7 linked regions of the Ovis aries genome follow. The protein of the gene in region 3 binds, or shares a complex with, the protein of the main gene of each other region. Links are inferred from orthologs where the notes say so. Each region holds a gene or a part of one and is shown on either strand. Other genes may lie near its edges. The genes, in order: SNW1, PPIL2, SRRM2, CWC15, CWC22, SF3B2 and CRNKL1.

The links.
Region 1: SRRM2 (region 3) and SNW1 share a complex: the UniProt entries of both Homo sapiens proteins name them as parts of the minor spliceosome. The link is inferred for Ovis aries from reciprocal best matches to the Homo sapiens genes SRRM2 and SNW1.
Region 2: SRRM2 (region 3) and PPIL2 share a complex: the UniProt entries of both Homo sapiens proteins name them as parts of the minor spliceosome. The link is inferred for Ovis aries from reciprocal best matches to the Homo sapiens genes SRRM2 and PPIL2.
Region 4: SRRM2 (region 3) and CWC15 share a complex: the UniProt entries of both Homo sapiens proteins name them as parts of the minor spliceosome. The link is inferred for Ovis aries from reciprocal best matches to the Homo sapiens genes SRRM2 and CWC15.
Region 5: SRRM2 (region 3) and CWC22 share a complex: the UniProt entries of both Homo sapiens proteins name them as parts of the minor spliceosome. The link is inferred for Ovis aries from reciprocal best matches to the Homo sapiens genes SRRM2 and CWC22.
Region 6: SRRM2 (region 3) and SF3B2 share a complex: the UniProt entries of both Homo sapiens proteins name them as parts of the minor spliceosome. The link is inferred for Ovis aries from reciprocal best matches to the Homo sapiens genes SRRM2 and SF3B2.
Region 7: SRRM2 (region 3) and CRNKL1 share a complex: the UniProt entries of both Homo sapiens proteins name them as parts of the minor spliceosome. The link is inferred for Ovis aries from reciprocal best matches to the Homo sapiens genes SRRM2 and CRNKL1.

What each region holds. Positions count from the first base shown.
Region 1 is NC_056060.1:87,012,805-87,016,534, forward strand, and holds part of SNW1 (SNW domain-containing protein 1), read right to left. Parts: intron 2,906-3,730; coding exon 2,789-2,905; intron 1,884-2,788; coding exon 1,742-1,883; intron 1-1,741. UniProt on the Homo sapiens protein: Involved in pre-mRNA splicing as component of the spliceosome. As a component of the minor spliceosome, involved in the splicing of U12-type introns in pre-mRNAs.
Region 2 is NC_056070.1:72,135,804-72,140,096, forward strand, and holds the start of PPIL2 (RING-type E3 ubiquitin-protein ligase PPIL2), read right to left. Parts: upstream 3,002-4,293; 5' UTR 2,918-3,001; coding exon 2,886-2,917; intron 1-2,885. UniProt on the Homo sapiens protein: Has a ubiquitin-protein ligase activity acting as an E3 ubiquitin protein ligase or as an ubiquitin-ubiquitin ligase promoting elongation of ubiquitin chains on substrates.
Region 3 is NC_056077.1:2,806,503-2,810,697, forward strand, and holds the start of SRRM2 (serine/arginine repetitive matrix protein 2), read right to left. Parts: upstream 2,814-4,195; 5' UTR 2,607-2,813; exon of another isoform or gene 2,599-2,606; intron 2,252-2,598; exon of another isoform or gene 1,771-2,251; intron 1-1,770. UniProt on the Homo sapiens protein: Required for pre-mRNA splicing as component of the spliceosome. As a component of the minor spliceosome, involved in the splicing of U12-type introns in pre-mRNAs.
Region 4 is NC_056068.1:15,096,525-15,099,737, forward strand, and holds part of CWC15 (spliceosome-associated protein CWC15 homolog), read left to right. Parts: intron 1-76; coding exon 77-165; intron 166-1,232; coding exon 1,233-1,346; intron 1,347-3,213. UniProt on the Homo sapiens protein: Involved in pre-mRNA splicing as component of the spliceosome. Component of the PRP19-CDC5L complex that forms an integral part of the spliceosome and is required for activating pre-mRNA splicing.
Region 5 is NC_056055.1:130,111,759-130,115,488, reverse strand, and holds part of CWC22 (pre-mRNA-splicing factor CWC22 homolog), read right to left. Parts: intron 971-3,730; coding exon 893-970; intron 286-892; coding exon 133-285; intron 1-132. UniProt on the Homo sapiens protein: Required for pre-mRNA splicing as component of the spliceosome. As a component of the minor spliceosome, involved in the splicing of U12-type introns in pre-mRNAs. Promotes exon-junction complex (EJC) assembly.
Region 6 is NC_056074.1:40,571,704-40,576,043, reverse strand, and holds the start of SF3B2 (splicing factor 3B subunit 2), read right to left. Parts: upstream 2,889-4,340; 5' UTR 2,864-2,888; coding exon 2,731-2,863; intron 2,563-2,730; coding exon 2,513-2,562; intron 2,224-2,512; coding exon 2,146-2,223; intron 1,048-2,145; coding exon 799-1,047; intron 586-798; coding exon 535-585; intron 1-534. UniProt on the Homo sapiens protein: Component of the 17S U2 SnRNP complex of the spliceosome, a large ribonucleoprotein complex that removes introns from transcribed pre-mRNAs.
Region 7 is NC_056066.1:39,181,948-39,186,306, reverse strand, and holds the start of CRNKL1 (crooked neck-like protein 1), read left to right. Parts: upstream 1-1,331; 5' UTR 1,332-1,432; coding exon 1,433-1,483; intron 1,484-4,359. UniProt on the Homo sapiens protein: Involved in pre-mRNA splicing process. As a component of the minor spliceosome, involved in the splicing of U12-type introns in pre-mRNAs.

The sequences.
Region 1 (3,730 bases), on a different chromosome or scaffold from region 3:
AGTAGGTTTTTTATATCATGCCCCATTAAGACATTTATATATATATGCAAGGAAGTGGGTTATTAGCCAGAACCTTCATTACTTCCCTTCAACTCTAGACTCCTATAACCAATTGCCTACTTGACACCTCCATTTTAAACATAACATGTCCACAACTAAATTCCTAATTTTTCCTTCCCAAATCTCTCCGCAGTGTAGTCTTACCAATATTAGTAGATAGCAATTCAATCCTTGTCAATTGTTTAGGTCAAAAGTTCCGGAGTCATCTTTGACTCCTTTTCTTTCCTTCTGCCGAATCCATAAGCAAATTTTGTCAGCTCTACTTTCAAATCACACCCAGTACCTGACATATTTTCACTATCTACCTCCTGCTATTATCTCTTATCTGGATTATTGCAATAGCTTTCCAACGGTGTTCCTGCTCCTGCAGATAACCATTCCATTGCTTTCTAACATATTCAAGACCATGTCATCCTGCTCCAGACTCTTCAGATTACTTCCCTTGTTACTTGAAGTAAAAGCTATAAAAGGCACACAAGATCTGGCCACTTTGCCCTAACTACTCTGACACCTCATCTCTACTTAGCTTTCTAGGTCTAATCCAGCCATTCTGGCCTCCTGCTTTTCCTTGAACATAGCAGATACACTCCCAACTCAGGGCGTCTGCACTGGCTGCTCCTTCTATCTGGGATGCTCTTCCCTTAGGCTCACTTCCTTACTTTCTTCAAGTGTTTTTTTTGTTAAAGTTACCATCTCGGAAGTGAGGTCTATTCTGACCACTCCCTCCTTCTGGCACTTTTACATACTCTTCCTCTTTTTTGCCCTCATAGTGACTGTTATCTTCTAATACACTATATGATTAACACTTTTTTGTCTGTCTACACTCCCTAAAATGTTCACTGCTATATCCTCTACCCGACTAGCAGAAAACTCTGTGTCTAGATTAAATCCTTGCCCCTAGTAGGTGCTCAACATGAACTGAATGAGTAAGTATACTAGATGAGGAATTATTACTGAAACCACCCTCATAATTTTCTTGAACTAGAATTAGTCTTCTCACTCTAACGGAATTAATATAGCACATATACCACAATATTTATGTAGATCACTAAATAAAGCAAGAGAGAAAATGATTAAAGGCCTAAAAGAACAACTGTGGATTAAGTTTACCATTGGGGGAGCTGAATTGTTCAGTTTGAAAGCTCTTTTCTCTAAGTTTCCAGAAAAGTAAGAGAAAATTAAGCCTATCATTTGAATAATATGTGATTTTTAAAAGTATTTTGCTCAGAATTTTAAAAATTTCTGGTGTAGTCCCATATTAAACGCCCACATTTAAATACACATTCTTTTCTATTACTTCCACTTAATGAGGCAGAAATTACTGTTTCATTTCTACATTATTTCTGAAATATCTACATTTTCTTTACATGTATGTACTACTTCTGCATGCAGCAAAAAAAACAGCTGAGATTTTCTAAATTGAGATAAGTATTATTCACAAAGTAAATTCAATTTAGTAACAAGTATGTCAGGGCTTCCCCGGTGACTTCCCAGATGGTAAAGAATCACCTGCCAATGCAGGTTTGATCCCTGGGGCGGGAAGATCCCTGTAGGAAATGGCACCCCACTCCAGTATTCTTGCCTGGGAAATACCATGGACAGAGGAGCCTGGTGGGCTACTGTGCATGGGATCACAAAGAGTTGGACATGACTTAGCAACTAAACAACGAGTATGTTATACCTTTTTCCACATGGGTTTTGATCCCAGCTCTTCTCTCTCTGGCTTTCTGGGCCATTTCTCTAAGTTTCTCTTCATGTTTTTCCTTTTCTTTTTGCGCCATCTTTCTCTCTACTTGAGCACGCATTTCCACCGCTTCACGAGCCTGTAAGTGAAGTTAGATGTTAAATAAGATACTATCAGGGATAAAGAATTATAGCTGTCATTTAATTTCCTGACTAAACTCTGGCTTGAAAGAACAGTTAGAAGAATTCACATTTGTTACTGCTAATTAAAACACAGATTCTTGTCTACAAAAGATAACTCGCCTAGACGACATTGCAAACAGCTTTTTCACTCTGACTCCAATCAATCTTGTAAGTCAGTGTTTCACTAATGCTTTTTCACTGTTTCATTTTAGAAACAATCTAAAAAATAAAATTAAGCAATAAAGCAATTTTCAATATCAATAATAGGAAGTGGTAATGTTTTCAAAATCAATCAGATCAACTCAAGATATAGCCTTAGTATAGATGAGCAAGAAATAATTTACATAAGGGTGCTCACTGTGACACAGAAGATATACTCTTGTATATTCTATGCCCATACCCTGATGCATGTAAACTTAAAAGACACATATTAATACCATAATATTAACAGACAGCCAATACTATGAATGCCATTTTCTGTAGCATTCAATACATCGGTATGTTTATTTTCCCTTCTATGCCACTGATCTTTTGGAAGACAAAGAGAAATAGGGAAAAATTATGAAACCCAGGAAGAGTAGGTGCCAACCTTCCCAAAATTGGGATCAGTCTAGTGAAGCACCGTTATTCTAGAATGTTGTGGGAAAGATGAATCACCAGTGGTGGGGTATGTATATGAGTCTACAAAGGCCAAGACTGGGTCAGAACTGCCACCAGCACATGTCATCTCTGGAACACATACCACAGGTGAGAGCCTCTCTGGGTACTCAGCAATGTAACCCAAATAACAGTATCTTAGGTAATTTTGAACAGATTTACAAATTATCAAGAGCATCAAACAACTTAATTACAACAGACCAACCTTTCGATCAGCAATGTAGAGGGCTTCGGCCAGTTTTGCAAAATTTTCATTGATGTGAACTGTTTGCAGTCCTCTTCCATCGGCAGCCAGACGTTTATCTAATGGAATTGTATAACCCTAGGACAAAGGCAGGCAGAAAACACTGGTCACCAAAGAGCAACAATGGAGTCTTTAAAACTAGATTTATATATGTCCATTTTGACAATCATTTTAAGTTCTTTCTCCTTACATCTCTTTTCGTAATTAAGCAACAGTAGTAGCAGCTAACACTGAGGGCTTCGTGTGGAGGACTGTTTAAGCGTTTTATATTTATGGCCTCATTTATCCTTCACAGCAAGTCTATAAGGCTGGTAATGGTAACATTATTATTTCCATTTCACAGACGAAGACACTGAGGTAGAAAGCCTAGGTCATACAGTTAATAAGCAGAAGAACTAGCATTTCAGAGTGCAAGCTCTGGGAAAACATTCTCATGTTAAATTTTGGGTTATAATAAAAGGAAATCACTACCAAATAGCTAAAGAGTTGCTCATCAAGTAAATGTAACAGTTATACAAAGGTAGAAGAAAGCACTAAAATCATAGTGTCTATAGGTAACTTAATCTGCTGCACTGCTTTCATGACTTATCAGATTCTTGGAACCCTACACATTTTAGTAAACAGAAAAAAGATAGAAGTTTGCTAGACAATTAAGATTCTTTGTTTTGAAATTCTGCATCCTGTTTCAAGAACTCAAGGAATATGCTTGAACATTTATGTAACTTCCACGCTTAGCTTTATTCTTTCAGACTTTTGAGTAGACTACTAAATAATGACCTCCTGCCCATGGTCTTTATTCCTAATTCAAGGAGTGTTACAGACAGCTCAAGATGCCTCATAGTTATACATACATAAATATGTATGGTATACCAAACCAGACTACCCAACAATCCTTTTGTTTCA
Region 2 (4,293 bases), on a different chromosome or scaffold from region 3:
GAGTTCCTCTTTGCTTTTCAATGCAGGGGGTGCAGGTCCATGCCTGGTGGAGGAGCCAAGCTCCTACAGGCCTTGCTGCGAAAAACCAAAACACCAAACAGAAGCAATACTGGTACAAATTCAATAAAAATGTACCCAAAAAAAGTCCCTTCCACAGCGGGGCTCCCTCACTGAACTCCACAAGCCCGTCAGATCTTCCAGGGGTGGTGTTGTAAGCCAGGCTGGGGCCATCACCCGAGGAGAGTGTGAAATAGAGGAAGCGGCGGGAGGAGACCTAGGAGGTCTGGGGAGGAGAGGACCCAGGAGAGGGAACCCAGAGAGCACCGTCTCTGAAGAAACCCGAAAACAGAGAGTGGTGTCCCAGACACCGAGGAAGGGCTTCAGAGGGAGAGCGGTGGTCCGGCACGCCCCAGGAAGCGAGGACAGAGAGCTGACCCCCGGATGGAGCCGCCCCCGGAGTTGAGGGATCCCGACAGGAGCAACGCGGGCAGACGCTGACTGAAGCGGGGTCAAGGGGAAGGCAGAAAACCACAGGGGATCGTCCTCATCTCGCCATTCAGACAGCTCAGCTCAGCCGCCTCTGACCCTGTGACCCCATGGATCGCAGCATGCCAGGCCTCCCTGTCTATCACCGACTCCCAGACACCCTGGAATGTGAAGTCAAGTGGGCCTTAGAAAGCATCATTACGAACAAAGCTAGTGGAGGTGATGGAAGTCCAGTGGAGCTGTTTCAAATCCTGAAAGATGATGCTGTGAAAGTGCTGCACTCAATATACCAGCAAATTGGGAAAACTCAGCAGTGGTCAGTTTTTATTCCAATTCCAAAGAAAGGCAATGACAAAGAATGCTTAAACTACCGCACAATTGCACTCATCTCACATGCTAGTAAAGTAATGCTCAAAATTCTCCAAGCCAGGCTTCAGCAATACATGAACCGTGAATTCCCTGATGTTCAAGCTGGTTTTAGAAAAGGCAGAGGAACCAGAGATTAAATTGCCAACATCCACTGGATCATGGAAAAAGCAACAGAGTTCCAGAAAAACATTTCTGCTTTATTGACTATGCCAAAGCCTTTGACTGTGTGGATCACAATAAACTGTGGAAAATTCTGAAAGACATGGGAATACCAGACCACCTGACCTGCCTCTTGAGAAATCTGTATGCAGGTCAAGAAGCAACAGTTAGAACTGGACATGGAACAACAGACTGGTTCCACATAGGAAAAGGAGTACATCAAGGTGGTATATTGTCACCCTGCTTATTTAACTTACATGCAGAGTACATCATGAGAAACGCTGGGCTGGAAGAAACACAAGCTGGAATCAACATTGCCGGGAGAGATATCAATAACCTCAGATATGCAGATGACACCACCCTTATGGCAGAAAGTGAAGAGGAACTAAAAAGCCTCTTGATGAAAGTCAAAGAGGAAAGTGAAAAAGTTGGCTTAAAGCTCAACATTCAGAAAACGAAGATCATGGCATCTGGTCCCATCAATTCATGGGAAATAGATGGGGAAACAGTGGAAACAGTGTCAGACTTTATTTTTGGGGGCTCCAAAATTACTGCAGATGGTGACTGCAGGCATGAAATTAAAAGACGCTTACTCCTTGGAAGAAAAGTTATGACCAACCTAGATAGTATATTCAAAAGCAGAGACATTACTTTGCTGACTAAGGTCCATCTAGTCAAGGCTATGGTTTTTCCTGTGGTCATGTATGGATGTGAGAGTTGGACTGTGAAGAAGGCTTAGCGCCGAAGAATTGATGCTTTTGAACTGTGGTGTTGGAGAAGACTCTTGAGGGTCCCTTGGACTGCAAGGATTTCCAACCAGTCCATCCTGAAGGAGATCAGTCCTGGGATTTCTTTGGAAGGAATGATGCTAAAGCTGAAGCTCCAGTACTTTGGCCACCTCATGTGAAGAGTTGACTCATTGGAAAAGACTCTGATGCTGGGAGGGATTGAGGGCAGGAGGAGAAGGGGACGACCGAGGATGAGATGGCTGGATGGCATCACTGACTTGGTGGACGTGAGTCTGAGTGAACTCCGGGAGATGGTGATGGACAGGGAGGCCTGGCGTGCTGCGATTCATGGGGTCGCAAAGAGTTGGACACGACTGAGCGACTGAACTGAACTGTCCACTGAGGGAGGTCCCATGCCCTCCAGCCATCTCATCCTCTGCCGTCCCCTTCTCCTCCCGCCTTCAATCTTTCAGGGTCTTTTCCAATGAGTCAGCCCTTCGCATCAGGTGGCCAAAGTATTGGAGCTTCAGCATCAGTCCTTCCAATGAACACCCAGGGCTGATCTCCTTGCAGTCCAGGGCACTCTCAAGAGTCTTCTCCAGCACCACAGTTCAGAAGCATTGATTCTTCGGCGCTCAGCCTTCTTTATACTCGAACTTTTACATCCACACATGTAAAAACCAAACCATCGGAAAAGACTCTTGGAAAGGACTCTTGAGAGTCCCCCGGACAGAAAGGAGATCCAACCAGTCCATCCTAAAGGAAAGCGGTCCTGAATATCGTCTGGCGGTTAAGAAAATCAAAGAAATTCGACGGTAGCTCGGGGGCCCAAGTGGGTTTAACTGGAAGATGCTGGAGCTCGGGAGCGGACTGGGGGACGAGGGACGACCACCGCGCCCGAGGAGACGCCCCCAGGGAAAAGCTGGCGAGCCTGAGGAGCCGAGGGGACTGGACCCCCGAGACCCGCGCCGGAGGGGGAGCCCGCGGAGGCTTCCGGCGAGGCGGCGTCGGCGGGCCGGAGAGCGCGGGGCCCCGGAAACCCGCGCGGAGCGGCGGAGGCTTCCGGGGAAGCGGCGTCTCGGGAGCTCGGGGGCGGGGCGCGGGGCGGACAGGCCCGCTCCCGGCGGTGGCGGCTCAACTCACATCTTGTCCTTCTGGTGCTGTCGCTTCCCCATGGCGACGGCAGGGTCAGCGAGCGCAGAAGACGGGGGAAAAGCACACCTCCGACCGCGGCGTCTCGGACGAACTCCGTAACTACTTCCGGGTCTCGCCGAACCGCCCCGGAAGCAAGCGCTGAGCACGCCGGGAACTGTGGTCCCTGGCTGCCCCCGCCCCCACCCCGAGTGCACGCCCGCCGGGCGCGGAGGCTCCCCGCGCCCGGGGGCTCCCCGCGCCCGGGGGCTCCCCGCGCCCGGGGGCTCCCCGCGCCCGGGGGCTCCCCGCGCCCGGGGGCTCCCCGCGCCCGGGGGCTCCCCGCGCCCGGGGGCTCCCCGCGCCCGGGGGCTGAGCAGTTTCGGCGTCGAAGCCTCCCCGTCTCTGCAGCTTTCTGTGCACCGCCTACCTAGCCTGCCTGCCTGGTCGCAGCTCAACGCCATCCCATCCCAAACCCGCCCTGGTCTGCCCTGGCTTCTCAGGTCTTCCGCTTGGAGCCCGGAAGTTCCCCCGGCCTTGGCCCCATCTCTGCCCCAGGCCGGCACCTCCAGATGGACACCCACATTCGCTATCCGCCCTCTCACCGCTCACCGGGACCGCACTGCCTGCAGCCCCCTCTCCTGGGCTACCCAGGGGCAGGTGGCCATCAAGCCCAAAGGTCCAAAGCCTTCGTGATCCCTTCGGCCTCTTCCCTCGGCCGGACCACCACGTTGGGGTGCCCCAGGCCAAGCCTCAGACCTCCCCCTACACTCAAGCACTGGGTGACCTTGCCCGGGCTCGCGGCTTTAAACGCCTGTATCGCTTGACTCCCAACGCTAAATGGCCAGCACTCAAGACTCCTGCCCTCTACTCGGGCAACCCAGTGAACTCGAATTCAGTATGTCTGCTAAAGCAGAATTCTCCTCCTCCCCCTCTAGGGTCCACTCTCCTCAGAGTACCACTATCCAGCCAGTCACCCCATACAGCTACAAGGGCTTGTTACCACTTGTAATCCTGTACTAATCCATCTGTGTACTGTCTAGCCACACATGCACGCACGCACGCACGCACACACACACACCCTCTCTCTCTCTTCAGGGAGACATGGCTTCCCCAAGAGCCAGGACCCCAACTGCTCGTCTGCTATCTCCAGTCACAAGCAAAGTGCCTGCGAGCTGCGTGCTGTCCCTTCAGTTGCGACTGACTCTCTTCCACCCTTCTGGACTGCAGCCCGCCAGGCTCCTGTCTGTGGGCTCTCCAGGCAAGAATACTGGAGTGGGTTGCCATGCCCTCCTCCAGGGCATCTTCCCAATCCAGGGATGAAACCGGTGTCCCTTGCGTCTCCTGCATGGACAGGCAGGTTCTTTGCCACCTGGGAAGCCCCAAGCAAGGTGCAGGGCATACCCAAGAGCTCAAGCAA
Region 3 (4,195 bases):
TGACCTAGGCATTTCAGGCTAGCTACCCTGAACGTAGCCAGAAATTATGACTACAAATTGACTCGAGAACCCCTTGATATCCAAAAGGAGGCCTAACCTAAAAGGCCAGCACGCACTACAGAAACACATGAAGCCTGGATACATAATCCTCATATACATCATCTCTCAGGTAAGAGGCATATCAACTATCCTGACTGATATGTTATTTCTTCAATTTCCTTCCCAATAGGATTTCTCACATGGTTTGTGGCTCACCCAAGTCTCCCTAGCTCCTACGAAAAGATTGCGTTTCCAACTCAAACTCTCTATGTATCAAAGCAGTCTCCTCTAGTCCAACTGTTCCCCATACCTTCTCTACATCCTTTCCCTACACTTAGTCACAAAAACCCCACTCTTTCTCCCTCACCTTCATTAAAGTCAAACTGCTGACTTTAACAGTCCCTTCATTACCTTACTGCCTAGTTTTTCTCATCCAGCCCCACATGACTCTGAAGAAACCCTCAAATGCTAGTTTTTTTCTGATTAGGTTTCTTGACTACACAGACTATTCCTTTCTCCTGCTCTATGTACTTTTTTTTTCCTCCAACTCCTCCTGTCCAAGATAGTTTCACAAAGGAAATGTGTGAGTGAAAAGGACCCCAGGAAAAGAACCCAAGGAACAAAGTTGAGATATTAGTGAAGGCAGAAGAAAAAAAACACAGAACTGGATAAAAAGAAAAGTTCCATTTAAAATACTCTGGAAGAAACATAAACACCTGGGAAAATGTACCAACCTCCCCCTTTACAGGTAGATGTTGAATGAAAAGAAGACAGCTCAACTCTAGAACAGTTTGGTACCCCTTCCCCCCCAACTCTAAGGCTGGGTCCCTACCCAATCCCAGTTGCAGACTCTAGAGATCTGAAAACAAAACAAAAAAATAACCATATTGGGGTAAAGGATGATGCTAAATCTAGGAAAGGCAAGTGGAACTGTGTGAAACGAAAAATTTCTTTATAGTACAAGAAATCTTCCAACCTTCACGTTTACTTTCTCAAAATTTCTCCTTGCTCTTAAGCTAGATTTTCTCTGGCTCTCTATACCCTACCTAGTTTCTGCTTCCCTAGCAGAAAGCTTCTGACCTGCAATTAATTTTTCAGTTTAACCATTCACCCACACTTCCATACCACCTCACACAATAATCCTCCCACTCCCTGGAAAAGGATAACCAGCAGCTGCTAAGCAAAGGGTATTCAATCACAACAAACTACTTTTAGAAAATGACCCAGCAAAGAAAACAAACAAAAAACAGAAATACCATGGCATCCAAGACAATGCTCACAAAGGACAGATAGACAGGAGGAGTGTATCGATAATACATATACACAAATCACCAAAACCCAAATGGAGACACTTAAACTAGGATCCACGGACTACGGGCATGCAAAAGTCACCAAAGCTAAAGGCAGATGAAAAGCAAGCTGCAAAAGAAGATAAAAAGCATTTTTCTGTTGGAGAATTATCACATGTTAAACAAGACAAAAGGAGTCTTAAAATTCAGTATTACGACAGTCAAGGAAAGAAACGCAGGAAAAAGGGAGCGGAGAGTGCAGGAAAATGAAACTAATACGTAAGCACATCAAGTTCAGCACTGGGGCACCACAGTAGCTGACGAGGGACTATGGAACCCAGAAAGCTGAAGTACTAGCTCAGTAAGAGAGTGCCTAGATTCAACACACTCAAAAGGAAACACAACACAACTTTAAAAATTTTTGACCCAAAAGATATCTTACATAAGCGTTTGCGTGAAAACCGAGGTCTGGAAGAGTTTTGAGTCAAATTATAATAAAACCCTGCGCTTTCTCCTCAAGAAAGGGCTGGCAGCCGCCTTCCCAGCTTCAACACAACTTTGGAGACCATGAAAAGGTGCAAGAAAAGAAAAGAGCACGTGGTCTGCCTTAACATACCTAGACTGAGTACTTAATTAAAAACAAAAAAAACGTTTTGAATGCTTCGCTTAATACTTCATGGCAGACAGTAACGAATCCAAACTGCCTAAATCGAGGAGATATCTAGTTCAAGACCTTTTTTGCACAGGCTGAGCCGCCAAGACCTATTTTCGGCCTTGAGGGATGGGGGAGGGGGCTGCGCGGCGCCCGGTAGTCTGGGAGGCTCAGGACCAGACCCCAAGCCCCGGGGAGGGACGGACAGGCCGGACGCCGGCGAGGCGCGGGGCAAAGGAGCCGACAGCCGGCCCCCGCCGCCGCAGCCCCCTCCCCGCAAACAAGATGTCGGCAAGGACAGCTGCAACAGGGCCTCGTCGCCGCACGCGTCTGGGAGACGAGAAGCCCGAGTCGCGCGCTACCCACTCCTCGCCGAGAACGCGCGCGAGCCCAAGTGCACTCGGCGGCGCGCGTCGTTGCCATGGGGGAGGGGGAATAAAAGCCCGCGCGCGACAGGAACCGCGGGAGAGGGGGAGGGGAGGCAGGCGAGCGGGGACGTCCGCGCGAGCTAGGGGCGGCGAGCGCGCGTGCGCGCGGCGGCCTGGGCCGTTCTCCGCGCGCTTTGGCCTGGCGCCGGGGCCGCCGCCCCTCCCCCACCCGGCTCGCTCGCTCCCTCACCCTCTCACCCGCCGCCGCCTCCACCCGCCGCCTCCGAGGGGGAGAGGTGCTGCCGCAGATCGAGCTCCTGAGTCCTTCGGGGCCTGGAGCAGCGGCCCTGCCTCGCCGGTCCGCCCGACTCAGCCGACACCGCCGCCTCCTCGCTTCCTCAGGGGCCGCAGCGGGCTCCGACTGCGCCACTCGCACCCCGCCTGGGCCGCGTTGCACGTCAGCACGACCAACTAAACGCGTCAGCACGCAACCGCGCGCGTCGCAAGGCCCGCCGGGAACCGTAGTACGCTCCGCGGCCTTGTGCGCAGGCGCCGAATCAGCACGGGATGTGTAGTTTCTTGAGTCCCGAAGGAGAGTCAACTCTGTTGTCGATGAACTACGATTCCCGTCAGGCAGTTGCGAGGAGGGTCTCGGGAGCGGCCCGGAGGAAGCAACGCATTCCAGGGGGTTTCCGACGGGGAGCAGGAGGACACAGGGCCTAGCGTCGCTAGCCCTCGATCGCTCCCGCCTTCGGCCCAGAGCATGCTGGGAGTTGTAGTTCTAGTGTGGCGTGGAACCCGGAGGTAGCTTCGCTCTCCCCCGCCCCCACGAGGCCGCCATTTTGTCTCCTCATGTTAGGAGGCAATGGGCCCGAGGCCAATAATACCGCTTCCTCCAAGTGACCGCACGCCTCCCGGGGTGAGCCCGGGGGCTGTGCTGCACCTATCATTCCGGACCCAGGAGTACCCGCCCCCCGGACCCTGGGCGGCGGACACCCGGGTTATCCCAGAGCCCAGCTACAGGCCCAGGGCCTGAGCCAAGAGCTGAGCCAGCAGACCGTGGTGTTCGCAGCTTCCATCCGCTGAACCGGGCTGGCTGCCCCTGAGGAATGATTTTTTTTTTTTTTTATGACTGCGAGTAAGGGGCCAGACAGAGGTGCAGTTTTCTCCTGCAGAACATGAAGCGTGTTACATACGTGGCAGGGTAAAAACATTACAACCCCCACCCCCACCCCGCCCCAAGCTTGTCAGCCCTGTGCAGAATGTCTTAAGTTAATGTTTTTAAGTCCGTTTTGCTTCAGCCTGAGGACCAGCTAGTCTCCCTCGGAGCAGAGTTGGGAGAAGCTGAGTTTTTGAGGCAGGCCAGTCGTCTGGGTTATCTCTGTTTGGGGTGGGGGTGGGGGCAGCTTATACCAGCAGCCACTTAATGAACTGTGGCCCCTTTGACTTTGTATCTGATGTTACTAGGTTTTCTTTGTAATCGTGGAAAGATAACTCACCTCATATGCTGGAGCGGGGCAACCTACTGCTTGGTGTAGGAGCTGTAGCTTTGGCTTAAAGGTGCCAGGGCTGATGTAATCTTACCTTCTTGAACTCCTGGCAAGTGCTTCCTGGAGTTGGATGCACCTTTGGAGTGATTTATGGCAAAGTGGAAAAGCCTGTCCTTTCTGGGCTTAAGCTGATATTTCTCAGGTGAGGGTGAAGGGTGATAGTTTCTTAAAACCCATTACCTTCAGTAAGACCCTTTCCTGTAACCAAATTCTCGATGATATTCTTCCCAAGAGATAGGAGGGTAGGAGGTGGGACACAATCAAAAAATGATATAATATCCTGAGGACCCAAGATAA
Region 4 (3,213 bases), on a different chromosome or scaffold from region 3:
GCCCACAAGTCCCTAAAATGTTACAAGAAATGCAGGATTTGATTCAGTGAGTTAACTATTGTTTGTTTTCTGCCAGAACATACAACCTCCTCTTCAGTGTCAAAGAAGCCTCGGTTGGACCAGATTCCTGCTGCCAACCTTGATGCAGACGATCCACTAACAGATGTATGTTTACTTCTTCCTCTTACCTCCATGTAGTAATTTACTTACCATTTTTCTGAAATACTTTTTTATTCTTTTAGCTTTAAGAAGCAGTTTGTATTTGTATTTACGTACTGTTATTCAGTTACAGCTCTGACTTGAGTGCTAAACTTTATAGTCTATTTTAAAACAAAGAAAGCATTATCTTGTTAATCACATTTCAAGTTTGATCTCTGGAGAGCCAGAAAGGTGTGCTTCCCTAAAAAATAATTCCTGGTATTAAACCATGGAAATTGGATAGCTCTGCCTCTTCAGACTGGGCTCTTCATCGATAGCATCCCCTCCAGTGAACGTAGGGACCTTTCTGTATTCTCAACCAGTGATGCCCCTTCCACATGTTCAGTGGGCATAATTGCTCCCTCTGTGTTTAGAGAGACATGTGATCTAAGTGGAAGGCTTTTAAGGATTGGCACTTTCATTAACATTCAAATTTAGGTCCTACCAGGTTTGCAGTTTTCTATGTACAGGGAAAAGTCTTCAAGGGTAGCGTCTAATTAAGCATATATGTTAGTAATTCTAGAATTGATAGACTAATTTAAAAATTAGCATAGTAATTCATACAAGGAACTCAGTTTTAAGTTACATTTAATGATTATTCATTTGAAATTATTTTACTCTGAGAATTTAACACCCTTTTTTGTACTTTCAATTATCCTTATTTCCTAGTTGTTTTGAGCAATATAAAACTATTTTGACCCTCAAAGAATGTAGTTAGTGTGTATCACTGTAAAATGTTCTTTTTCTAGTTTTACAAATATTTTCATATATAAATTCTTACTTGTTCATGTAAATTTGAAAGATACTATTTGCTGCTATAATGTTTAAAAAACATTTTAAAATACATTTTAGTAAGTAGTCATAAGCTACTTGTGAGGTTTTATTTTACTTTTTGTTTGGTTGCTGATTCTAATTGTATTTAGCTACATCTGTCTTTCCCAGGGAAATTTCCTGCTCCAAAGATTCGATAAGTGCCATTTTTATGGAAAACATACGACTTATGCCTTATGTCTAACCTCACCTTTCTTTTTTAGGAGGAGGATGAAGATGAAGATTTTGAAGAGGAGAGTGATGATGACGATACTGCAGCTCTTCTTGCAGAGCTGGAAAAAATCAAAAAAGAAAGAGCTGAAGAGCAGGCCAGGAAGGTAAAACCAACATATTAAATGTTTTTACGTCTTCTCACATAAACTACAGTAGAAATGTTTTTAAGTAGTAGCACCTTATATGAGGAATCATCCTTGCCAGGTCTAGATACTACAGCACCTGTAGGTCCATAAATCTGGTAAATTCAGTGACAGCCTAAGTCTCCTAGTTACGTTAAAAATTCTTTTGAAATGGTTCAAACATGCTTTAGGCCTAATCATTAAGTTATTCTTCACTCATTTATTTGTTCAACAGACATTTAGTCAATGTCTGTCAAGTGTCAGGAGAATCAAAGATGACTAGATGTAGTCATTACCTAGGAAGAACCCACAGATAGAATGAAGCCATCTTTACCTCTGTCCTTGTCTTCTGCCCCAGCCTTCTTTCCAGGTACTTGCTGAGGCTGTCAGTAAATTTTATGTAACCTAGCTTTTCTGAGTCCCCACAGTCTCTCCATTTGGAAGGAAAGAGTGTCTAACTCAGAGACAGATAAATTAAATAGGATCCATGGTCCTGTGTACCTTTATTACATAATTACCCATAGTAGTAACAATAAGAGAGAAAACTTAGGAAGCAAGAGTGAGTGAGTGCACTGACCATTTCTAGACCAATGCTAAAGGAGTTTGAACTCTGTTCCAAAGGATATGCAGAATTAGTCGATTTCAGCAGGAGATGGTAAGGTTGGGGGTGCATTTTAGAAAGATTACTCTGGCCAAAGTGTGGAGGATGCAAGGAAGAACTGGTTAGAGGGCTGTTTCAATAATCCTCATATCCTGTGACGAGACTCTTGCATGCTAGGAGTTGAATTTGAGAGACGTTAACTATCAGGGAGATAAAATTGACCAAAGAAGAGTGACCGATTAGCTATAACAGTTCCTGGGTCTGTGTGAGTGCCATGCACTAATTCAGGGAACACAGAGGATGGGCATGCTTCAGTGGAGAGAAAAGAAATGATGAGTTATGTTTGGAACATGTTGAATTTGGCACACTGTGGGACCCTCAAGTAGATCTATCTGCCTCCACTTTCAACCAGAATAGAGGAAATTTTTTTTTATTAAGTGGGCTTCTGAGTAAGATTTTATTTGAACCAAGAATTGTTCTGTTTAAAAAAAGGAAAAAGACTGATGTAGGTTAATGCTTGGAACTTAGGGAGGTAGAATTCATGTGGGTCAGAACGGCCAGGGAAGAATTGAGAAAAGAAGTAGAATTGGGGATAGGCTTTGAAGACAGCTAGAATTCAGATTGGAAGAATAAAAACATTAAAGATACAATTCGCGTCAAAATTTGGTAGGGGATAGCAAAACTCCAGTAGAAGTGTCGGACCATTCCTACATCTGCACACCACAAGAGGGCAGTTATTCTATTCCAGATTCTTTTGGCCTTCCTAACAGCTGTGGATACAGAAAGAGACAATTAAATGCATTTGGAGCATAAACATTTCAGACAGAAATTCTTGGCAATTTTGTAACATGCATCTGATTTCTTTGTACAAACGTGTTGGTGTTTTTTGGAGTCACATGACAGTTTTGTACCTATTTCCCTGTCTTGCTTTCTAGTGGCTGACTTTTCCCTGTCTCGCTTTCTAGTGGCACCTCTAGTGGCTGAGGTGTTTCAAAACATTTCAGACCAGTCAGCCTATGTTAGGGGCTGGGAAACTTTCTATAAGGGACTGCTGCTGCTACTGCTAAGGAGCTTCAGTCGTGTCTGATTCTGTGCAACCCCGTAGACGGCAGCCCCCCAGGCTACCCTGTCCCTGGGATTCTCCAGGCAAGAACACTGGAGTGGGTTGCCGTTTCCTTCTCCAGTGCATGAAACTGAAAAGTGAAAGTGAAGTCGCTCAGTCGTGTCCAACTCTTCACGACCCCATGG
Region 5 (3,730 bases), on a different chromosome or scaffold from region 3:
AGTTCGCTCCACATGTCATTTTAAAACACACTGCCTACATTGGAAGAGTATGGCTATGTTATACTTAATAATATTTATTTCAGAATAACAGGGGATTAGGAAAGAAGTACAAATATTGACTCATCTACTTACGCTCCATGGAAGTGAATCAGTGTATAAAAGGTGAGCAAACATCTTAGCAACATTTCTCAATTTGTTTGTTTCCAAGCGATGGATGGTATCATATTGTTCTTTGAATATACTTTCAAAGGATTCCATGTATTCTTTTTTTAGCATGCAAAATCGCTAATAAATTAAAAATAAAAATGTCAACACCATATTAAATCCTAATTTTATTCAATCAAAAGTTAATAAATGTTTGTATGTCATATCACTCTTCTTTGTTGTATAATGGGATGCTTAAAAAAGAAGTCAATTTATACCACCCCTGGGATTTATATGCTAAAACAAAGTTATACACATGGCTAGCCACAGATACACATATTTATATAAGATAAATAAATATACTTCTCTATGGATTAAGTTTGGATTCAAAAAATGATTTAGCTCATGCTTTATTTATGTTGTCTGAACATGTACTTGACCAGAAATTGCTGTGAAAGTTTGAAAAGACAGCATTTAATTGTTCTCTTTGGGAAACTGTTATGGAATGCCTCAAAGTTCTGGAAGAATGATATGTAATATCAAAGAACTACAAACAGGAAGTGGGAAGGGAGGAAGCTACAGAGATTAGGGAAACTGTGGAAGGGAAGAATGATTTGTTTTTCAGCAAAGATATGTTAGTACATTAGACCAGGCAACAAAGCAGACACATTAATTCACAATACTCATGTTCAGAATTACCCTTGTGATTTCATCAAAATCCAACAAGAAAAATGAGGTCGGAACTCACCCCAGCTAACAAGCCAAAAAATTTCTCATATGTCCTTTGTTGGGCACAGCAATCAAGTATCATGTTGCAGAGTTCTTTCTATTTGGAAAAAAATTACATTAATGATTCAAAACACAATGAATCTATGCTGTGTGATAATTTATCAATATGACAAAGATAGCCTGAATTTTTAAATAAGGTTTTAAAAACATAAAACTTTGTGAAGTTGAGTTATGAAGACAAAACAAAAAATTCAATCTCTGTCAAGACTATAGTTTTTTAAAGTCTTCTGTTTGGCTAATAGAAATTCCATGTCATTTATGCTAATTAGATTGCTTATAAAATTCTAAACTCATGTAAGTATGAGCCACTTCAAGAAAACCTGCTGTGAAATTTTGAAAAGACAGCATTTAATTGTTCTCTTTGGGAAACTGTTATGGAATGCCTCAAAGTTCTGGAAGAATGATACGTAATATCAAAGAACTATCAAGGAAACAGATACATCAACAAAAAGAAACTAAATATATCACATTCTAAAAGATTCTATACAGAAATCTTTTAAATACAGACCACCAATACAACATTTAAACTGAGTTATCAAGAATATATTTTGTTAGTATGGAAAAGGCAAAACGTGGTGAGTCTTTACAGAGCATAAAGTAGGCACAACTTCAGTGCTAACATAATGACTGCCTTGTTTATAAGAAAATATATCTAAAAGAACAACAACAAAAAAGACCTTTGTGGCCAAGATTTTTAGCCTCAAAATAAATGCTACTCAATAGATCTGTCCACAGATGAATCTAAATAAATAGATGGAATCATTCCATAACTGTTCTTTCCACAGACTGTCCAATCAGTTATTTTTGTGTCTTGAAAACTCCTCTGTGAAAATTCTGTTGGGCTATGAAATGCAAGAGTTAATCCAAGATCGGGAAATACCAACATCACAAATTACTTATAATGAATAAATATTATTTAATTCCTGAAATAACCCTAATGAAATATATATCAATTACAGCAATTTCATAGATCAAGAAACTCAGGAAATATGGACAAATCAATGGAGACAAAATGAAAAAGAGAATAATCCTAACCCTAACTCTGAGTACTGCTAAACTGACTAAAGATCTTTTTCTACAAAACATTTCTTATTAGAAAGTTAAAAAGTAATTTTTAATAAAATACATTAACTGCAATGTATTCGTGTTCTATAAACAGAAAGCAACGCTATAAAATATACTATATACTCTTTCAGTTCACTTTTATTTTGTACCTTTATATCTTCAATTAGGAATTCTGACATTTTTGTCCTCTGATAACATGAGATACAATCTATTAATAGGTAATTATTATATATATTAAAAAAAAATTAGGTCAATATGCATTTATTGGAAATCTCCACGTGCACCACCAGATGACACCATCCAGATGACATCCAGATGGCACCACCCTTATGGTGAAATCGATGAACTAAAGAGCCTCTTGATGAAAGTGAAAGACGAGAGTGAAAAAGTTGGCTTAAAACTCAACATTTAGAAAACTAAGATCATGGCATCTGGTCCCATCACTTCGTGGCAAATAGTTGGGGAAACAATGGAAACAGTGACAGACTTTATTTTCTTGGGCTCCAAAATCCCTGCAGATGGTGACTGCAGCCATGAAATTAAAGGCACTTGCTCCTTGGAAGAAAAGCTATGATCAACCTAGGCAGCATATTAAAAAGCAGAGACATTACTTTTCCGACAAAGGTCCACCTAGTCGAAGCTATGGTTTTTCCAGTAGTCACGTATGGATGTGAGAAAGCTGAGCACCAAAGAACTGATGGTTTTGAACTGTGGTGTTGGAGAAAACTCTTGAGAGCCCCATGGACTGCAAGGAGATCCAACCAGTCAGTCCTGACGGAAATCAGTCCTGAGTGTTCACTGGAAGAACTGATGTTGAAGCTGAAACTCCAATACTTTGGCCACCTGATGCAGAGAACTGACTCTTTGGAAAAGACCCTGATGCTGGGAAAGATTGAAGGCAGGAGGAAAAGGGGACAACAGAGGATGAGATGGTAGAATGGCATCACCAACTTGATGGACATGAGTTTGAGCAAGCTCTGGGAGTTGGTGATGGACCGGGAAGCCTGGCAAGCTACAATCCATGGTGTCGCAAAGAGTTGGACATGTCTGAGCAACTGAATTGAACTGAACTGACTGATCCATGAGCAAGAAGGAAGGGGGACCCTGAAGAAGCATAGAACACTTTACAACTGTGCTGTCCAGTGTGCTGGCCCCTAGCAATACATAGCCATTTACATTTAGATTATTCAACATTATGTAAAATTCAAATTTTAGTTTTTTAGTCATACGTCACATTTTAAGTACTCAGAAGCCACATGTGACCAGTATAGTGGCCACTGTACTAAAAAGGGAAGAATATGAATATTTTCATCAATGCAAAATGTTCTATGGGGCAGTGTTATTCAAGAAGCTGATAATCTACTTATAAAACTATCTAATGAAAGGCTTCTCTTCACAAAACAAGGTTATTTTTAGATGTAATTATACTGTTAGATTATTATTTTTTTTAAAGGTTAGTCACAAGTTGCCTCAATTAAAATGTTTATAAATGTCTAAGTTCTGAAGAGATGTACTTCGTCAAAATTTAATATAGGACCAAAAAAACCTAAATGACCTTTTCTGAGTTCTGCCACACAACATTAATTCAATATATTAAAATGTATTTTCAACTTCTACCAACACTTCATCTTATAATAACCTAATACTTAACCAGGTTTTAAACAATATAACATGGTAATATGCTGATAGCATTGCTAATAAAGTCAGAACAACATGCAAAAACAAATTAATT
Region 6 (4,340 bases), on a different chromosome or scaffold from region 3:
TGTCTCCATGGGCTATAGCCTGCCAGGCTCCTCTGGTCCATGGGATTTTTCAAGCAAGAATACTGGAGTGGGTTGCCATTTCCTTCTCCAGGGGATCTTCCCAACCCAGGGATTAAACCCACATCTCCTGTCTCCTGCAGGCAGACTCTTTACCCACTGAGCCATTGGGAAAGCCCAGTAGGGGTCAGGAAATTTCTTCTGTAATGGGCCAGTCAGTAAATATTTTAGGCTTTCTGGGTTGTTTGTAGACTGTTGTAAATTCCTTTCCCCCATCTCCCCGAAACAACCCTTCAAATATATAAAAACCATCCTTACATCACAGGCCATACAAAAACAGGCTATAGTCCACAGATTACCAATTCCTTGGCTATGTGAAAGAAAGAATTATTTGGGAGATAATGGAATTTAGATGAGGATGAGGTAATCTCCATGGGAAACCTGAATGGCACGGCTAATTTTAGACAGTAAGCACTAGAAGTGACAGACGATGGATTAGACCATGGAGGTCAAAGGTTAGGAAGAGGGAGGCATTACCCGCTTCTGCTGCTCCAAAAGCTCATGTTCCTTCAGTGAATGATCTCCCTGCTTAAGAAAGAAAACGAGCTCATTCCAGTACCCACACCCCACCGGCCAGTCTACCACAGCTCTGCTTCCTGGTCTGCTCTTCCAGCCGAGGCCCTGAAGACTTGGGTCCAGACCTTCCCAGAAGCCTTGGCCCCAGGATCCGGCTCCCCTGGAGGCCCTACTCCCTTTTCAGGACCCTGGTGAGACCCAGGCTCAGGCTGCCACCTGCCCTACCTGCTTGGCACGCTCCTCCTGCTGCATCAGCAATGCCGCCTGCTGCTGCGCCAGCTTCAGCCGCTCTTCCTCAGACAGCGCCACGGGCTCACCCACCCGGAGAGGAGGAGGAGGCCCCAAGTTTGGCGGGCGGGGTCCAACTGCCATAGGAAAGCCAAGGCCAAGGCCAGGTGGGGGTGGTGGGGGTGGTGGAGGGGGTTGTAGAGGAGGGAGACCCATGGGTGGGGGCGGCATGGGAATCCCCGAGAGCTGTGGGGGGAAAAAAAGGCCATTAACTATGAAGCATTTATGTAATGGCAGGCATTTGCTGGGGAACTAATATAAGGCTGGCACTGGGATTCAAAGTCAAATGATGCACAATTCTTGCATTCAAGAAAATGCAGGGCTTCCCTGAAGGTCCAATGTTTAAGAATCCGCTCAACGCAAGGCACATGGGTTCGAGCCCTGCTCTAGGAAGATTCCACGTGCTGCGGGGCAACTAAGCCCATGTGCCGCGTGTGCTGCAGCTGCTGAAACCCGTATACCCTGGAGCCCGTGCTCCGCAACCAGAGGCCACTGCGATGGGATGGCCGCACAACACAACTAGACAGTAGTCCTGTGCTCGCTTCAACTGGAAAGGGCCTGCACACAGCAATGAAGACCCAGAGCAGCCAAAGACATAAAGGAAAAAAGAAAGAATACTCTACGGCAGTATCGAAAGAAGAGCATTTTAACTTTGTGCCACCAACTGATGAAAGCTGTCAACTCTGTCCCAGAAGAACATCATGAACACAGACTTCACATACAATTTCAGGAGACTCACGGACACCTCTAAAGGCCTTCTGAAAAACTCCTCAACCCCTCAAAAAATAAAAACCTTCTTATGCCACACATAGAAGTCCCTGGACCCCAAGTCAGGGCCACTGCTCTACAGAAAAACTATCAAATCCTGGATCAGAAAAGACATGGAAATTGAGAGTATTTAAATAAATAAGACCCAGTGTGCCCCAATGACTGATTAAATATAGAAGGTATGAAATTAAATCAGAGAGTAAGCCCTAATTTCTCATTGAATAACATGGGAACTCTGCACAGGGAGGGCAGAGAAGAGAGTGATTACTTCCAGCTGGGGAAGGATTATGTCAGGTTTCCAGATATTTAAGCTGAATCTTAAATGACACATGAAATTTGGAGGAACTGACACTGAGAAAGGAAGTAAGAATCTGGACGAAGGAAGAACTGAAGAGTTCCCAGTTCTTTCATCAGTGTACCTCCCTGCCCAGTGGGCTACGTGTATCCCCCTGTACGCTCAGAGGAGGAGCTACTCTGAGTAGAAAAGAATCTTATCAAGTGAGACAGTCTTCTTACCTGTGCTGACATAGGAGGAGGAGCAGCTTTGTCCCCATCTTCACCTCTCAGAACGGGACGATTCAGGACGATGCCAGTCTGTGAAAGTGAAAAGAATCTAGGGCAGTCTAAAAGGAGCTGGTGCATGAAACAGCGTTCGCTCTCGTCTATTCAACAAAATTTACCCAGTGACTGTCTGCCAGAGCTCGGAATGGGCTCTGGGAAGAAACGATATATACAAAAGCAATTATAACACAGCAGATACGAAGCAGCCAAGACCCCACTTGCTGTACCGAGATTCGTAAACAACGAAGACCGAGTTGTAACGGGTCATTAATGCCTCCTGCAAACGCTCGGCCTATCCTCATGTCCCGCCACCAACACTTACTTGGCGAGTGTAAGCCTGCAATCGCTCCACAAGCTCCTCGCGACTCCCTGCTAAGCAAAGCACAGGATCAACGGGGTAGGTCAGGTCGAGCAGGCCAGCCTGCCCAAGTCAGGCCACCGCGGCCAGCCTCTAACCCCCGCCCCCGGGTCTCCGGGGTAACCAGCTCCGCTTCCCCGCAGGCCTGCACTTTCCTGCCCTTGACTTCCCATGCTCCTCACCCTGGATGGGAGCTCCGATCTCTGCTAATTTGGCCTGAAGCTCCTGGGCAGCCCAGGCACCATAGTGTCCAGGAGGCGGCGGCGGCGGCAGCTGCAACTCTCCCTTAGGAGGCTCCGGATGCTCGGCCGCCATCTTAGCCGCAGGAAGGCGCGCGACCAACCCGGAAGCTCGGACCAGCCTCCGGACCCACTTCCCGGAACTTCCGGTAGGGCGATACGCCACGTCCGCTCGAGGGTTGCCAGGCAGTTCCCATCAGGGCCCACCCCCTACCGTTCTCCAATGCTCCTTAGGCCGCCTGGTCGCGAAGCCTTCTGGGAGTTGTAGTGCACAGGTCACGATCTCTGCGGATTCAAATCCGGGAGGATCGCGGCCGGCCGCGACGCGGGGAACTCTGGAGGCCAGAGCCGGGGCGGGGCTGTGGGGAAAGCAGGTCCTGCCCGAAGGGCGTGCTTTCTGCATCTCACTGGCCTCAGCGCAGACCTCCCGCCTTGCGGCGCTACTCCCTGGTTGGACTTGAGAGGCCTGGACGCTCACGTTCTCCAGGGACTCGTTCCCCCGGCGGTCGCGCGCTGTGGGCGCCAAGCGGGAGTTTGCCGCCGATGCCTGTGATAAAACAGTGTCTGATTGTCTGCCCGCCCATCCCCGGCCCAGGCATGGATGAATGGGCTGAAAGGAGATCGGAGACGGGAACGAAGCCGGCCCTCCGGGCTGAGATCCAGCTGCCGACCTGGGGGAAGGGCCACACTAAAGCCCCTTTTTCCACCTTCCTGGCCGTCTCAAATGTCATCTACGTTAAACTGTCTCCCGCCTTTCCTGCTCTGGAGCGGCCAAACCTCTACCATTTGTTTTGAAATCTTTCTTGCCCTTTTCTGCACTTACAACTCCCAAGACATGAGTTTTTACGGTCTCACAGTACCTGGCGTTAGAAGTGCTCAATGAATTATTACTGAAAGGGGGAAAAAAAAAAAAAAAAAGCAGTCTTAAGCGACAAGATTTGGATCCTTTTTTAGTCTTGAAAATAAACGCAGGGGAATTCCCTGGTGGTCCAGTGGGTCGAACTCAGTGCTTTCCCTGGGGAAACCCGGGTTCCATCCGCGGTCAGGTAACTAAGATCCCACAAGCCGCACCGCAAGGCCGAAAAAGAAAGAAAATAAACTCAGGACCTTTTCTTCCCTCATCCCCACCAGCTTACTGGCGCAGCAGACCCTGTCTGGTGCTCTCCTACCCCACCAGCGGCCTGTGCCCCTGAGGGAGGGATGGGCAGGTGGCCCTTGCTTGCCCCCTTCTGCTTCTCCCTGTCCTGATCAGTCAGTTCAGTTCATCTTCCCACCTCTGCCTCCAGCTCTGAGATCCCGTTCCCATTCTAGTGCTGCTGTCTCACAGACAGCCAGGTCGCAGCCAGTGTGCATGTATGTGTGTTGGATGAGAGAGCGGGGCAACTCAAAATGGTCTCTATTCCCTCTCCCCTCCCTCCACACCCGCATCCCTCAGATCTTCTCTCTAGCATGCTCTATTTCACGAATCACCCCCAACAGAGCAGTACCTGGGAGGAGGGAAAAAAGAATGGGAGGTCAGGTCCAGGGAAGGTGAGGTTTAGGATAGACAAAGG
Region 7 (4,359 bases), on a different chromosome or scaffold from region 3:
AAAAAGCTGGCTTGAATCTCAACATTAAAAAAACATGGCATCCAGTCCCATCACTTCGTGGCAAATAGAAGGGGAAAACATGGAAGCAGTGACAGATATTTTTTCCCCTCGGGCTCCAAAATCACTGCAGGATGATAACTGCAGCCATGAAATTAAAAGATTCTTGCTCCTTGAAAGGAAAGCTATGACAAACCTAGACAATATATTAAAAAGCAGAGATATCACTTTGCCACAAATGTCTGTATGGTCAGAGCTATGGTTTTCTCCATAGTCATGCACAGATTTGAGAGCTGGACCATAAGGAAGGCTGATCACCATAGAATTTATACTTTCTAGTTGTGGTGCTGGACAAGCCTCTTGAGAGTCACTTGAACTGCATGGAGATCAAACCAGTCAGTCCTAAAGGAAATCAACCCTGAGTGTTCATTGGAAGGAATGAAGCTGAAGCTCCAATACTTTGGCCACTATATTCAGAGAGCCAAGTCAGTGGAAAAGACCTGATGCTGGGAAAGACTGAAGGCAAAAGGAAAAGGAGGTGGTAGAGGGTGAGATGGTTAGATGCAATCACTGACTCAACGGACATAAATTTCAGCAAATTACAGGAGATAGTGGAGGATAGAGAAGCCTGGTGTGCTACAGTCCATGAGGTCGCAAAGAGTGGGACCTGAATTCGCGACTCAATAACAACAAAAGTTAAGCGAACTGGCGCTACGAAAATTGACATTAAGACACAATGACAGAAAATTTTAAATATCTGTTTATCTGATATTATTTAAGATTGATATATTACATTGCTTATCTGACATTATAAGGCTGGGTTATTTGCTAGTACTCCGATGATTTATTTTCACTTTTTTCTGTTATCTGGCTTTAAAATTCCTTCAGTCACTTTCATTTATAAGCCATAGAATTATTTGGTCACAACTGTCCGGAAACCAAGGGGCAGTTGACCATTCGGGCCTACAAAGCCCAGAATGCACCCCAGCTCAGGGCGGCCGAGGAGGTCAGCAGCTTGCCGCTAGGTATGCCAGGAGGTAGTTTTCTACCCCACCCCCGCCCTCGAGCGTCCGCACGGTAGCCGGGTTCCTGTCCCCTTGCGGGATACCGCGATTTCACGGATCCACCCGTCCTCGCACGGTCATCCTAATCCCAGAGGCGATCTGAGGATGTGCCCCTGACGGCCCGGATGCAGCCAGCACTCCTCACCTCACCTGCAACTCCCGAGTCCCAGGCTCCGAAGAGGACGCGCAGCCCGGTTACCACAGAAACGACGTTGACTCCGTCACGGCGCGGGAAAGAGGTCAAAGGTCGCCCCAGCCAGTTCCGCTTCCGGTTCCGGGATCCCGCTTGTTGTCGGAAAGTTGCGCGGTGTGGGCGAGCCCTCGGGGAAGGTTCTGTGGTCCCGGGCTCGCCCGCGGTCGCCGCTGCAGCCATGGCGGCTTCCACCGCTGCCGGGAAGCAAAGGATCCCCAAAGTGGCCAAGGTGAGCGGCTCGGGGCCTTGTGGGAGGAGGCCGGGGATGGGGTTGGCCCGGCCTTGGTGGTGCCTGGGGCGGGAGGCGTGTGGTCCCTGGGGCGGGAGGCGTGTGGTCCCGGGAGCTGGTCCTCCCTACCTGAGCGGGGGCCGCGGGCGGGGAGGGCCAGCCGGGGATGGGGGTCACCTCCGCGTCCGCGTGGTCGTCGTGTTAAAAAGTGTTTATCTGGGGGAGGAGAGAGGTTCTTCAGCACAGACACGCTGAAACAGACACTCGCTAGTCGCTGGGGCTCCGGGTAGAGCGGGCTACGAGCTACCCTGCGTAAGGGTAGAACTGCAGCCTTGCAAAGGCTCCTGAGCCCCAGAGGAATAGGCCGTGGCTTCCTGGGCTCGTGTGAGGGGTCTCCAGCGCAAGAAGTGATGATTAAGCTGTGCTGAAGGCTGTAATAGGAGTCAACCCCGGGTGAGAGTGGAAGGAGTGAAAAGAGATGACAAGGGCTGTATTTTGGTTGATCTCACTTTTTCCGTCGGCGGTTAATACTAAAGTTCAGTTCAGTTCAGTTCAGTCACTCAGTTGTGTCCGACTCTTTGCGACCCCATGAATCGCAGCACGCCAGGCCTCCCTGTCCATCACCAACTCCCGGAGTTCACTCAGACTCACGTCCATCGAGTCCGTGATGCCATCCAGACATCTCATCCTCTGTCGTCCCCTTCTCCTCCTGCCCCCAATCCCTCCCAGCATCAGAGTCTTTTCCAATAAGTCAACTCTTCGCATGAGGTGGCCAAAGTACTGCAGTTTCAGCTTGAGCATCATTCCTTCCAAAGAAATCCCAGGGCTGATCTCCTTCAGAATGGACTGGCTGGATCTTCTTGCAGTCCAAGGGACTCTCAGGAATCTTCTCCAACACCACAGTTCAAAAGCATCAATTCTTCACAGTCCAACTCTCACATCCATACATGACCACAGGAAAAACCATAGCCTTGACTAATGGACCTTAGTCGGCAAAGAATGTCTCTGCTTTTGAATATGCTATCTAGATTGGTCATAACTTTTCTTCCAAGGAGTAAGCGTCTTTTAATTTCATGGCTGCAGTCACCATCTGCAGTGATTTTGGAGCCCCCCAAAATAAAGTCTGACACTGTTTCCACTGTTTCCCATCTATTTCCCATGAAGTGATGGGACCAGATGCCATGAACTTCGTTTTCTGAATGTTGAGCTTTAGGCCAACTTTTTCCTTTCCACTTTCACTTTCATCAAGAGGCTTTTTAGTTCCTCTTCACTTTCTGCCATAAGGTTGGTGTCATCTGCATATCTGAGGTTATTGATATTTCTCCCAGCAATCTTGATTCCAGCTTGTGTTTCTTCCAGCCCAGCATTTCTCATGATGTACTCTGCATATACGTTAAATAAGCAGGGTAACAATATACAGCCTTGACGTACTCCTTTTCCTATTTGGAACCAGTCTGTTGTTCCATGTCCAGTTCTAACTGCTGCTTCCTGACCTGCATACAGATTTCTCAAGAGGCAGGTCAGGTGGTCTGTATTCCCATCTCTTTCAGGATTTTCCACAGTTTATTGTGATCCACACAGTCAAAGGCTTTGGCATAGTCAATAAAGCAGAAATAGATGTTTTTCTGGAACTCTCTTGCTTTTTTGATGATCCAGCGGATGTTGGCAATTTGATCTCTGGTTCCTCTGCCTTTTCTAAAAACAGCTTGAACATCAGAAAGTTCACAGTTCATGTATTGCTGAAGCCTGGCTTGGAGAATTTTGAGCATTACTTTGCTAGCGTGTGAGATGAGTGCAATTGTGCGGTAGTTTGAGCAGTCTTTGGCATTGTCTTTCTTTGGGACTGGAATGAAAACTGACCTTTTCCAGTCCTGTGGCCACTGCTGAGTTTTCCAAATTTGCTGGCATATTGAGTGCAGCACTTTCACAGCATCATTTTTCAGGATTTGAAACAGCTCAACTGGAATTCCATCACCTCCACTAGCTTTGTGCGTAGCGATGCTTTCTAAGGCCCACTTTGACTTCACATTCCAGAATTTCTGGCTCTAGGTGAGTGATCACATCATCGTGATTATCTGGGTCATGAAGATCTTTTTTGTACAGTTCTTCTGTGTATTGTTGCCACCTCTTCTTAATATCTTCTGCTTCTGTTAGGTCCATACCATTTCTGTCCTTTATCGAGCCCATCTTTGCATGAAATGTTCCCTTGGTATCTCTAATTTTCTTGAAGAGATCTCTAGTCTTTCCCATTCTGTTCTTTTCCTCTATTTCTTTGCATTGATCGCTGAAGAAGGCTTTCTTATCTCTTCTTGCTATTCTCTGGAACTCTGCATTCAGATGCTTATATCTTTCCTTTTCTCCTTTGCTTTTCGCCTCTCTTTCTTTTCACAGCTATTTGTAAGGCCTCCCCAGACAGCCATTTTGTTTTTTTGCATTTCTTTTCCATGGGGATGGTCTTGATCCCTGTCTCCTGTCACGAACTTCATTCCATAGTTCATCAGGCACTCTATGTATCAGATCTAGTCCTTTAAATCTATTTCTCACTTCCACTGTATAATCATAAGAGATTTGATTTAGGTCATACCTGAATGGTCTAGCGGTTTTCCCTACTTTCTTCAATTTGAGTCCAAATTTGGCAATAAGGAGTTCATGATCTGAGCCACAGTCAGCTCCTGGTCTTGTTTTTGTTGACTGTATAGAGCTTCTCCATCTTTGGCTGCAAAGAATATAATCAATCTGATTTCGGTGTTGACCATCTGGTGATGTCCATGTGTAGATTCTTGTCTTGTGTTGTTGGAAGAGGGTGTTTGCTATGACCAATGCATTTTCTTGGCAAAACTCGATTAGTCTTTGCCCTGCTTCATTCCACATTCCAA